3 linked regions of the Macaca fascicularis genome follow. The protein of the gene in region 3 interacts with the protein of the main gene of each other region in a biochemical or structural test. Links are inferred from orthologs where the notes say so. Each region holds a gene or a part of one and is shown on either strand. Other genes may lie near its edges.

The links.
Region 1: the proteins of LGALS3BP (region 3) and LGALS1 form a complex in vitro, tested with the Homo sapiens proteins (2 studies listed by BioGRID). The link is inferred for Macaca fascicularis from reciprocal best matches to the Homo sapiens genes LGALS3BP and LGALS1.
Region 2: the proteins of LGALS3BP (region 3) and LGALS3 form a complex in vitro, tested with the Homo sapiens proteins (4 studies listed by BioGRID). The link is inferred for Macaca fascicularis from reciprocal best matches to the Homo sapiens genes LGALS3BP and LGALS3.

Annotation. Positions count from the first base shown.
Region 1 is NC_088384.1:13,959,183-13,963,548, forward strand, and holds the start of LGALS1 (galectin-1), read right to left. Parts: upstream 2,940-4,366; 5' UTR 2,872-2,939; coding exon 2,863-2,871; intron 1,591-2,862; coding exon 1,511-1,590; intron 104-1,510; coding exon 1-103. UniProt on the Homo sapiens protein: Lectin that binds beta-galactoside and a wide array of complex carbohydrates. Plays a role in regulating apoptosis, cell proliferation and cell differentiation. Inhibits CD45 protein phosphatase activity and therefore the dephosphorylation of Lyn kinase.
Region 2 is NC_088381.1:122,996,889-123,000,531, forward strand, and holds part of LGALS3 (galectin-3), read left to right. Parts: intron 1-1,826; 5' UTR 1,827-1,830; coding exon 1,831-1,848; intron 1,849-2,502; coding exon 2,503-2,820; intron 2,821-3,643. UniProt on the Homo sapiens protein: Galactose-specific lectin which binds IgE. May mediate with the alpha-3, beta-1 integrin the stimulation by CSPG4 of endothelial cells migration.
Region 3 is NC_088390.1:85,383,171-85,387,249, reverse strand, and holds the start of LGALS3BP (galectin-3-binding protein), read left to right. Parts: upstream 1-1,276; 5' UTR 1,277-1,434; intron 1,435-4,031; exon of another isoform or gene 4,032-4,034; 5' UTR 4,035-4,051; coding exon 4,052-4,079.

The sequences.
Region 1 (4,366 bases), on a different chromosome or scaffold from region 3:
CTTGCTGTTGCACACGATGGTGTTGGCGTCGCCGTGGGCGTTGAAGCGAGGGTTGAAGTGCAGGCACAGGTTGTTGCTATCTTTGCCCAGGTTCAGCACGAAGCTGGGGGGTAATGGGTGGGTGTGAGGCCACCTCGGCCAGCTCCAGCCCCACCGACTGACTAATCTGTCACTCAGTACTCCATGAACACACTTTGCTTGAAGAACTCACTAACAGAGACAAGAAACCTGGATTCTAGCTCTGGCCCTGACAGCTGCTTACGGTGTGAACGTGAGCTAGTCCCTGCCCCTCCTTGCCTGTTTGCTCATCTGTACAATGGGGGCTGCACAGGAGGACTTGCTAGATTCTTGAAGTCACTAGCGTCCTAGCCCTTTTGGTCAAGGTCAGAGACTTCCTCCAGATGGCAACTTCACGTCCTGTCTTGTACATCTGTGTTCCTGGTGCCCAGCACAAGTGGGGCACACCAGAAGGAGATGCTTAGTAATTATGGGGTGAATTAACAAATAATAATACTCCTGGGCACGGTGGCTCACTCCTGTAACCCCAGCACTTTGGGAGGCCGAGGTGGGCAGATCATGAGGTCAGGGGTTCGAGACCAGCCTGGCCAACATGGTGAACCCCCATCTCTACTAAAAGTACAAAAATTAGCTGGGCGTGGTGGTAGGCACCTGTAGTCCCAGCTACTCGGGAGGCTGAGGCAGGAGAATCGTTTGAACCCAGGAGATGGAGGTTGTGGTGAGCCGAGATCAAGCCATTGCACTCCAGCCTGGAGGACAGGGTGAGACTCCGTCTCAAAAAATAAAATAATAAATGCATTTGTTTAGTGGTGATAATAGCTATACCTGCCTCTGAGGGTTTGGTTGCAATGAAATTAGTTCATGAGAAGTGTACGGCTCTTAACAATATCAGCTCTTAACAATATCAGCGGATCCTCACCCTCCTCATCATCACTACACCATCGGCATCTCACTTCCTCCACACAACCACCTCCCCCCCTTGTTTTTCTAACAAAATGAGGCTAGGTGAGGTTGGTTGACTGGTCCAAGGTCACATAGCTGCTGAGAAAATAAGGCAGCCGGCTGAGTGAACGAGGAGTGAAGGAAGAAGGACAGGACTGAGCCAGTGAATGAATGACCTGACGCAGGAGGGAGGGACTCAGAGGGAAGGCGGCGGTGACTCCCGCCTCACTCTTCTCCCCGCCCTCCCCAGATGCAGGCCCCGCCCAGACCGGAAAGGGGTGGGGGCGGGGGAACCAAGGTATTATAGATGACGAGGCTGCAGCTGTTGTAGTTTAAGAGGCTACAGCAGGGAGGGAGCGGGGGAGGGGGCGGCAATGGTGGGGGCGCCCAGACCCCGCGGGGGAAGTGAGTCACCCAGAAAGCGCAGCAACGTCGGCCGGCCGTTAACCCACTCTCGGCCAGGGAGGAGACGTGGACTTGGCCGGCCACGCCCTCTCGGCTGGACCAAGCCCCCATCCCTGCCGCCCACCACCCTGACTTCACCTCTCACCTCTTGGCGTCGGGGGCCACCTCGCCCCGCACTCGGAGGCACTCTCCAGGTTTGAGATTCAGGTTGCTGGCGACCAGACCCTGCACAGACAAGCCCCGGCCCAGCGGGTTAGAGGACAAGGCCTCCAATACCCGAAGTGTCCGGGGGTGGCTGGGGGTGGGAGTGGGGTTGTTCCCGCCCGGCATCCTCTGACCAAGCCAAGGGGAAGCCTGGGGACAGGATGGGGCTGTGATTTCTAGCCTCTGATTCTCTGTGTGGTCCTGGAAAAGTCCCTATTCCCAACAGGGTTGGCTTCAATCTGTAATGTGAATCAGGTTCTAGAAGACAGGCTCTAGAAGATTTTGCAGATTGGCCTGGGGATTTTGAACTCAAGAGTGGCTTGGGAGGTGGGGTGCTCTGTCCCATCGCAGATAGAGAGGATCAGGCTGGGGAGGGGCAGGCAGTTGGCCCACAGTCACACTGAATGCAGGGGTCGACCCCTCTGCTGGAGAGGAAGTGGCTAGGGGGACACTACTATTCTCCTTCAAGCTCCTCTCTGCGAAGAGGCCCAGGGGCTAGAGAGGAGACCCTGAAGAACACGGCCCCTCTGCATTAGGGAGTGGCCTGCAGTCGGGCTGTGGCCAGGCTGGTTCAGGGTTAACAAGATTGAGAAAACTGCTGCGCACTGCTGCTCCCTGGCACCCCGAGTGGGTGGGCAAGAGTTAACTGATTTGAGTGGTTTCTTCTGTCAGAAACTTGAACTCTTTCCCTGGGGCCCGAGGAAGATTCTCACCTCCCTGCCACCCCAACCTCCCAGCTTGGGGGTGGTGGAAGGGAATTTCCCCGGGTCCCCTCCCTCCCACCAGCCTGGACACAACCACCCTCCACCCCCGACCTAGAAAGGCCCATCCTGGGCAGCCTGTCTCGGGTCCTGGCGACTTTTCAGCGTATTCTGGAGCAGAGGGTGACTCTGCCCGGGCCTGGTGACTGGGACAGCTGCAGGGGGGAGGGGACGGGAGGCTTTTTGGGGTGGAGGAGGGGGAAAGATATAGTGGCCTGGGTGTCCCCCAGTTGGCCACACCCTTCCCACGCTCACTACTCAGAGAGCTGCAGAATGTCAACCCTGGGCAGAAATAACTGTGCTTTCAGACCCTGGAGGAATCCAAACAATTATCAATGCAGAGAAGGCCTTGAGGGACCATGGCGCCCACCCCCATTTTACAGATGTGGCCACTGAGGTCTAGAAAAGAGAAGGCAGTGGTTCCAGGCCACACAGCTGGGGCTAGAACCCTGCTCCCGATCTGCCCAGCTCTCCTCCGGCCATCAGCTCCTGCCCTATCCCCTGGACCTTGGGGTGGGGTCCCCACACTCACACAAGCCATGATTGAGGCCAGGAGGATGTTGCCAGGAGAGGCGCACCAGCTGTTAGAAGACTCCACCCGAGAGAGATGGGCCCCCGGGCGCTCCCACCCTTTTAACGGGACCGGACCGGGTGAGCCCCGCCCCCTGGAAGTTCAGCCAATTGCAAGTCAGGACAGGGCTGGGGGCCACCGAGGGCGGAGTCCGTGGAATTTTGAAGCCAGTTCTGGAGCAGAGGTGACCAATCAGAGTGGCCATCTGCCGCCCCCCAACGAGGGTCCAAGCTCCACCTCCTATTCTTCATCCCTCTCCACCTCCCCCTGCCCCGCCACCACCGAAATTGTGCTGTGGCAGAGATTGGGGGAAGCCAATGGAAAATAGTTTCATGATGAGCTAGGCCCACGAGTTGGCGGGAAGGGGCCTGTGGCCAGCAGGCTGGGCTCAGGGGGTGCCCAGAGAAGATGGCTGAGGAGGTGCAGGGTCCTTCAAGGAATCAGAGCTGGGAGAGACCAGGCCACTCCAGGGCAGGGACCAGGGCGTGGCTCCTGCGTGCGCGTCTGCAGAGGGCCACTGACTTAAACCACAGGCCCTGGCGCCACCCGGGCCTTCCCCGGAAGCAAGGACTGCGGCTGCTGCAGCGCTTGCTCGCTCCTAGCTAAGGCTAAAGAAAGGCTGGGCTGCACGCCAAGCCTTAGGTTGCAGGGCTTGGCTAAGTCCTCGGGCTTGGCCCCCTTCAGGGGCATGCAGGGGATAGTCAAAGCACCCTGGCCTGACAGCCTCTGGCCTGAGTGTCAAGCTGGGGAGATGGCCCAGGGTGGTCCAGGCCAGGAGGGGGTGGGGTCCTAGCTCTGTGCACCTGTCAGGCCTCTGAGCCCAAGCCAAACCATCGCATCCCCTGTGACTTGCACGTACGCCCAGATGGCCTGAAGTAACTGAAGAATCACAAAAGAAGTGCAAATGCCCTGCCTTGCAGTAACTGATGACATTCTACCACAAAAGAAGTGAAAATGGCCAGCCCTTGCCTTAAGCAATTATATTATCTTGTGAAGTTCCTTTTCCTGGCTCATCCTGGCTCAAAAAGCTCCCCCACTGAGCACCTTGTGACCCCCACTCCTGCCTGCCAGAGAACAACACCCCTTTGACTGTAATTTTCCTTTACCTACCCAAATCCTATAAAACGGTCCCGCCCTTATCTCCCTTCGCTGACTCTTTTCGGACTCAGCCCGCCTGCACCCAGGTGAAATAAACAGCCATGTTGCTCACACAAAGCCTGTTTGGTGGTCTCTTTACATGGATGTGCATGACAGCACCCTGTCCTCTCTCTTTTTTATTTTTATCTATTTATTTTTGAGATGGAGTGTCACTCTGTCGCCCAGGCTGGAGTGCAGTGGCATGACCTCGGCTTACTGCAACCTCTGCCTCCCAGGTTCTCCTGCCTCAGCCTCTTGAGTAGATGGGACTACAGGCCCCCACCACCATGCCCGGCCAATTTTTGTATTTTTAGTAAAGACGGGGTTT
Region 2 (3,643 bases), on a different chromosome or scaffold from region 3:
TGCACCACCACACCTGGCTAATTTTTGTATTTTTCATAGAGACAGGGTTTTGACATATTGTCCAGGCTAGTCTTGAACTCTTGGGCTCAAGCAATCCGCCCACCTTAGCCTCCCAACGTGCTGGGGATTACAGGCATGAGCCACGCCCAGCCAATATCTTGCATTTGAATCAAGTAGTGGACATTTATTGAATCCCTTGGGGCGATGTCATTTCTAAAAGTGATTGAGTAAATATCACAGGTAGGCAATCAAGGATATTCTGGTTGTTTCAAGGTCTATGTAATTCAGGCCATGGCACAGGTGATCCTGAGCTTAGGAAGAACTCACCCATGCCTCAGGGGCCCAACTGCCCTCCTCCCCTCACAGCTGGAGCACCTGCAACAGCTGTGAAGCATCTTGTGCTTTAGGAGCCTTGACATGGGAAGGAACAGGAGAAAGCAGGATTGATGTCTCCAGACCACCCCTTGTGGCAGCTTTGGGCAAGGCAAACCCTCTTTGGTAGCATCTTACACCCAAATATTTTTTTCTTTCACGTTGCCTGAATTTTTTCACCTTAGTTTGTTGTACTGCCAAAGATTTTATTTGGAATAACAAGTACCTTTAAAAAAAGAAAGCACATACAAACTTCAGCTGCCCTTTGAGGCTTAGCTCCAACAGCACTTTTCCTTTCCTTCTTAGAAGTAAGCTTTCTGCGTTTGAATTCCTACAGCACACATTCTAACTCATAGCATTCGTGACTTGTTATTTCACATTTCCATGGATGCATCTCATCTGCCTTGCTGGACTGTGGGCCCTTTGGCTTTTTTTAAAATTCTTAATCTTTATGGGTACATAGCAGGTATATATATTTATGGGCTACATAAAGATGTTTTGACACAGGTATGTAGTGCATGATAATCACATCATGGAAAATGGGGCATTCATATTCTCATTTATTTGTGTTACAAACAATCCAAGTATACTTTTAGTTATTTTCAAATGTACAATGAAATTATTGACTATAGTCACCCTGTTGTGCTGTCAAATATCAGGCCTTATTCATTCATTATAACTATTTTTGTCACCCATTAACTATCCTCACCTCCCTCCCACTCACCCACCCCCAGTACCTTTCCCAGCCTCTGGTAACCATCCTTCTACTCTATACCTCTGTGGGCTCAATCGTTTTGAGTTTTAGATCCCATGGCCCCTTTGACCATGCAGATCATGGCCTATTCATCTTCGCACCTAGACAGGAGCCTGCGCAGTGCCTGACCAAGAGCAGGCATAAGTGTGTGCAAATAGAGGAATAAATAACAGGGCAGCAACTATGTCTGGAGGTCATTGTCTTTCCTGTCTCAGTAGGAATCAATCACTGCTGATCTTCAAAAACCCAGAGGAGGGGATGGGGCAGTTAGTGGGGACAGAGGGCAGATGGGCAAGATGAACACACCAAACCCTTTATAAGGAGTAAGGAAGGAAGGTGAAGAAGAACCAAAAAGAAACCATGACTGTTTACATTTTTCACCTGGAAAAGGGACAGGACCTTTTCTTCCTCCCTGCCTCCTCCTCCCTCATGCATTGTATGGCCTCTTGGTCTCAGGATTCAGAGCACAGGCTAGTGTGATGGAAGTTTAAACTTGTGAGTTATATTTAACTCACAATCTAGCTGGAAAGCATCCCTGCCCCTTGAGGAGATGTTGTGTGGTCCCACACTACTGACTTAGGCATAATGCCTAGAGATTGACTAGAACTGCACAATGAACTAGTGGTGAGGTTCAATTTAATGGAAATCGGTGAAAGCTTTCAGGATCAAATGATAACCTTTGTCTCTTTCTTTCTCTCAGGAAAATGGCAGACAATTTTTCGGTAAGTGTTTTATGCCTGTTTCTTACCCTCGATCAACTCCACATGGTTGAGCGTTGGGGGTTTTGTTTTTACCATGACTTTCCCTTTTCACCCTCCCACTGTGTGGCTTCCCCTAGACTCATTTGTCCAACGAGGGCTTGTGAGCTGGAGCCTTGTTTTCCCAGCAGCAGATTTGGGAAGAAAGCCAGGCAGAGCAAGGCCTGGGACTCACTCACAGTAACCCTTTCACCAAAAGGCCCAGGGCGGAAGGGAGTGGACTCTGCTGGCAGGAGCTGAGAAATCCTCTGAGTAGCGGGAAGCGCGGTACAGTCTGGGCATTCTGATGTTTGTGATTGTTTTTCTCACAGTGATTAAAAAATATGTGCTGTAAATAGAGGAGCGCTAGCTCCTGACTTGGGCTAATTATGAAAATGCAGCCCTCCCTGATTTGAGACCTTGGGAGGCAAGAACAAAGTGAAAAAGCATATGTAACCCCAACGTCTAATTTTAGTCTTAGACACTCAAAACTATTAACAAGTGGAAAAAGTATAATGCTATGCATGTAATGCCTTTGCTATATTCCTCTCCTTCTTAGATCACATATTCCTATTTCCCTGAAAATTCTGCTTTTGAGAATGCTTTCTGTCCTGTAATTGTTTATGTCTTTCTTTACAGCTCCATGATGCCTTATCTGGGTCTGGAAACCCAAACCCTCAAGGATGGCCTGGCCCATGGGGGAACCAGCCTGCTGGGGCAGGGGGCTACCCAGGGGCCTCCTATCCTGGGGCCTACCCCGGGCAGGCACCCCCAGGGGTTTATCCTGGACAGGCACCTCCAGGTGCCTACCCTGGAGCACCTGGAGCTTATTCCGGAGCATCTGGAGTCTACCCAGGGCCACCCAGTGGCGCTGGAGCCTACCCATCTCCTGGACAGCCAAGTGCTCCTGGAGCCTACCCTGCCACTGGCCCCTATGGCGCCCCTGCTGGGCCACTGGTGAGATGGCATTCCTCCTTTCATGTACTTGGCATGCAGAGGGCTTCAGGGAGACCCTGAGCTTTAAACCTGCTGTGACAGCCACTTCTCAAGGGCCAGCCATGGGCATATGTTGGTAGAATCGAAAAATTAAGTGTTCATGTTGAGCTTATTGTGTGTGGTTAGTATAAACAGAAGGTAATGAATATTTTGAAGGCACTGATAAAGCTGCTTATGAATATAAACCAAAATTGTAGTAATGGAGAACATTTTGGTTATTATTAACACTTACTGAGTACATGTCAATAATATGCATCTACCTGGATGATCTAATTTAACCCCATTACCACCCTATACGATACTGTTAATAACCCCATTTCACATGTGGGGAAATGGGGCAATACAGAAGTGATATAATTTGTCCAGGGTCATTGAGCAAACAGGTAGAGGAACCAGGGTAATCTGGTTTTGAAAAACCTTCTAAAGATAATTTTGTGATCTAAGGGTTGAATTTTCATGCAAATTAAAATATGTCTTAGCAAGTGAATTCTAAATGTAAAACATAACTCTGTGGGGGATCCAGATACATCTCAGCCACAGGATCCTTCCTTTCCAGATTTATAGTCTAGTTAGATGATAAAACATATAATAAATATGAGGAAAGAGCTAAGTACCAGTGTGGGATTAGACCATTTCAGAACTATGCAGAAGATGGCACAAGATAGCATTGTCTCCTTTTAGGTCGGTTCAGAGTAGAAAGACTTGGGGGAGTGGGTGGCATTGAGATGGGCCTATACCAGAGATGGTTAGTCAGTTGCAGAGAGAGGGGGACATGAAGGCTGTG
Region 3 (4,079 bases):
CTTGAGGGCATCTGAGTTTTAAAACATTTCCCAGCACTTCTCAGAGGTGCCTTCCTGTCCTCGGCACTCCTGTGCTTCCCTGGCCACTCGGGCAGAAGTCATTAGCGCTGCTGAGAAGGGATGAAGCTGGGGTTTCTGTGCACCGAGGCCCTTAATCCGGATGAGATTTTTTAAACTCCCCACAGCCTGCTATGCCAGTTCTATTTCCAGCTGCATCTGCCCCTGGGTCTTCACAGCTCCTCTGGAGGGGATTAGGCAAACCATGCAGCTGCCTATAACCTCACATCTTGAGGGAAATAGTCATTGAATCTCTGACCTCTGGGCTGGCTGTCTCGGACTCTGAGCTGCCAGGGAACCAGGACTTTCCACCCGGTGGGACTGCCTGGGGGCTTTTGAAATGCCCCTGCCTGTCCCCCACTCCCGGAGATGGTGACTTCCTGGGTCTGGGCATTAGGAGTTTGTAAAACTCCCCGATGATTCTTCTGTCCAGTCCAGGCTGAGAACCACTGGTCAGAGGCCTGGGCACATCCCAAGGCTTGTCCAGAATCACGGAGTGCAAGTGACAGAAACAAAAGAGGCTGCTGATTGCCTCACTGAGCAGGTGAAGCCCAGGCTTGACCACTGATTAGGCCAGTTGGACCCAGGAGTTCAGGCCGGAGGATGCCTGCTTCCCTCTGCTCTGTCCCATGGGCCCCAGCAGCCTGGGCCCACATCCTCTCAGTCGGAAGCCGGCTCTCACCAGCTGGCTGGGCTCACAGCCCCACCCTGAAACCAGTAGTGTGGCCCGGGGGGCCCCGCAGGGCTCAGACACCCAGGCCTTGGGTGGTTGAAGGCCAAGAGCTGGGGGCCGTCTGGGAACCACACAGCCTGGAGTGGGAGGGGGTGCTCCTCAAGGGACAATTGAGGCGCTGGCTTTCAGTGGGAGGAAAGGGAATGGCTATGAGCTGGACAGAGCCATTATGTCACCAAGAGAGGCTCTGTGCCCCGGCACCAGGTGCAGACTGTCTGGGCCCAGAGCCTCTGCTGCTTCCCCTCCCGTCCCCCAAACACCAGCCCCTGGCCAGCCTGGCGGCGTTTCCGACTGAGTGTGGCTGTCAGTCCTCTTGCGGGCCTTGCTCCAGCCAGACTCCCGCCTTGGGCCTCTGCCAGCCCGGCACTGATACCCACGGGCAGAGCTGAGACGAAGGAGAGGGCCCCTGGGGAGTATCCGCAGCAGCCAATCCCAGAAGACATCGATGTCAGGTGGTTTCTAGAAATCGAAAGTAGACTTTTCTGAAGCATTTCCTGGGATCAGCCTGACCACACTCCACCCTGGGAGAGGCTTCTGGGTCAAAGGAACAGTCTGCAGAGGGCTCTTGTGGCTGGAAGTGACGGGGCTGCAGCACAGCCATCGCAGCTGCCCCAGCCAGGTAAGCTGCTGCCTCCAGCTCCCAGGTGGGCACCTCTCTCTCTCTCTCTCTCTGTTTTGTTTTTTTTGTTTTTTTTGTTTGTTTGTTTGTTTTTTGTGACAGGGTCTCACTCTGTCACTCAGGCTGGAGTACAGTGATGCTATCTCAGCTCACTGCAGCCTCCGCCTCCCGGGTTCAAACGATTCTCCTGCCTCAGCCTCCCAAGTAGCTGGGATTACAGGCACGCACCACCACGTCCAGCTAATTTTTGTATTTTTAGTAGAGACAGGGTTTCGCCATGTTGGCCAGCCTGGTCTCAAACTCCTGACCTCTGGTGATCTACCCGCCTCGGCCTCCCAAAGTGCTGGGATGACAGGCGTGAGCCATCGCGCCCGGCCAGGGCACCCCTCTCTCTACACAGGCAAGTGGGGGTCATGCCTCCCTGTTTGCACATAGGCCTGGAGCTGGGGATCCAGGGCTCCTGAGCCCAGCAACAGTCATTGCTGCTCCCAGGCCCACAGGACCTCTGTGTGCAGTTGGGCAGGTGGCACGAGGATACCAGCCAGAGGGCGAGTGGGTTAGAATCCAGGTTGGCCTCTCTCGGGCCTGTGCATTTGGCCTAGGCCTGCACCCACTCCTAGGAAGAGCACCTTTTTTTCTGATTTGCATGAAGGGGGCAACACAGGCAGCCGGGTCTCAACTCCCCGTATGAAGGAATCAGGCAAAAGTCCCAGCCGCTGCCACCCAGAGGGCGGAACGCCACCTGCCAGGTGCTTCGTTGCCCACTTTTTTTTTTGAGACGGAGTCTTGCTCTGTCACCCAGGCTGTAGTGCAATGGCTCACTGCAACCTCTGCCTGCCAGATTCAAGCAATTCTGTTGCCTCAGCCTCCTGAGTAGCTGGGACTACAGATGCGCACCACCACGCCCAACTTCTTCTCCTTCTTCTCCTTCCCCTTCTCCTTCTTCTTTTGTATTTTTAGTAGAGGTGGGGTTTCACCATGTTGGCCAGGCTGGTCTCGAACTCCTGACCTCAAATGATACACCTGCCCCAGCCTCCCAAAGTTCTAGGATTACAGGCGTGAGCCATCGCGCCTGGCCACTTGGCCATTTTTCCAAGGCCCTGAGTTACTCTCCCAGGACGGACAAACCTGGTGGCTGCAGCGGAGTGAAGTGGCTGGGTACAGAAGTGGAGAGGGCGTCCACCCATACCGGCGTGCCTGGGACTGAGGGTTTCCCAGGACACAGGGAAACTTCAGTGCTAAAACAAGCACAGTCCCCAGCACACAGGACAGGCAGTCACACCCTGGTGTCTTTAGCCATCTACTGACATTGACGCAGGGAGGAGAGGTGGGCTCCACCGAGCAGACCCCCTGCCTATGGCTGTGGACGTGGAGCCCATTTACCTCTCTGGGTGTCAGCTTCTTCACTTGTAAGGTGGGGTGTAACTAAGGTGGTTCTCAAGGTCACGGTAAGGCCTCCAGTGGTACCTGGGGAGCCCTGATAAGGGGTGGCTGCGCAGTGCCAGTGAGCGTGAGTCCCAGAGCAAAGCTCTCACCAGCCAGGGCACCCAGCTCCCAGGGTGCTTGTTCATGCAGACTCCCATGCAGAGGGGCTAGGGCGAGGCCAGCCATGACAGCACTTCCAACAAGCTCTGGCGATGCCATTGCAGCCGTCCACCAGGCCCCCTCTGAGCAGCCTCAAGGTCACCAGGCCCAGACTCCCAGCCGGTGCCCACAGCAGTGCCACCCAGAGGCCTGCCCCTGGCTTGCTGAACTGAGGGGACAGTGTCACAGGATTCTTACCGAGCCAGAGAAGCCATACCTGTCTCTCCATTGGCGGGGTGTGGGGGAGGGAGGCAGGCGAAGACAAAAGCGTGGAAATTACACGGAGGCAAGAACACCAGGCCAGAAGGCGGAGACCCGGACCTCCCCAACCGCAGCCTGAGTGTCAGTGTCTTGGGGATACTTCAGCATTTCCTCCCCGTTCTTCCCCCAGCATGGCCCACCCTGGGCTGCAGCCCTGACCCTTTTCCCCTATCTTCCCCATCCGAACACCATGGAGCCCCGATGTGTCTCCTTGCTGCTTATCTGTCACCCCGGCCCAGCCTCCGTGGCCTCTCCTGACGAGTCCCCTCCCATCCACTCTGCAGGCTGCCTTTGCCTGCTTAGGCCTCTGGGACAGTCCCTGCGGGGGTCTGTTGCCTGAAGATTAAGGCCCAGATCTTAACCAGGCTCACCCGGCCCCCCGACCTGGGCCTGTGCCCATGGCCTCCTCCCTCTCCACCCTCCCCGCCCATGCCCATGTGGCGGCCTTGCCCGGGGCCTGGTTTTTTGAGATGAGCTCACTTGCCTCTAGTCACCGATTCTTGCTGTCCTTAACTGCCAGGGGGTACCCCCAGCCCACCCCTTCATCTAGCCAAGTCTTACACATCCTTCCAGGAGCATGCTGCAGACCAGGTGAGGGGCCCCTGTGGGGCGCTTCCATAGCACCCATCACACTTACTGGGACCACAGTGGGCTCTGCAGGAGAGGGATCCCGCCTGCCACACAGCCCAGGTCGGGCTGAAGGGTTAATGGGCAGGCCGGTCCCCGGGCTTCGGGCCACCTGGCTCCCGTGCCTCACTCTGCCGCTTCTGTCTGCAGCAGGATCTGGGCATCCAAGCATGGCCATGGCCCCTCCGAGGCTCTTCT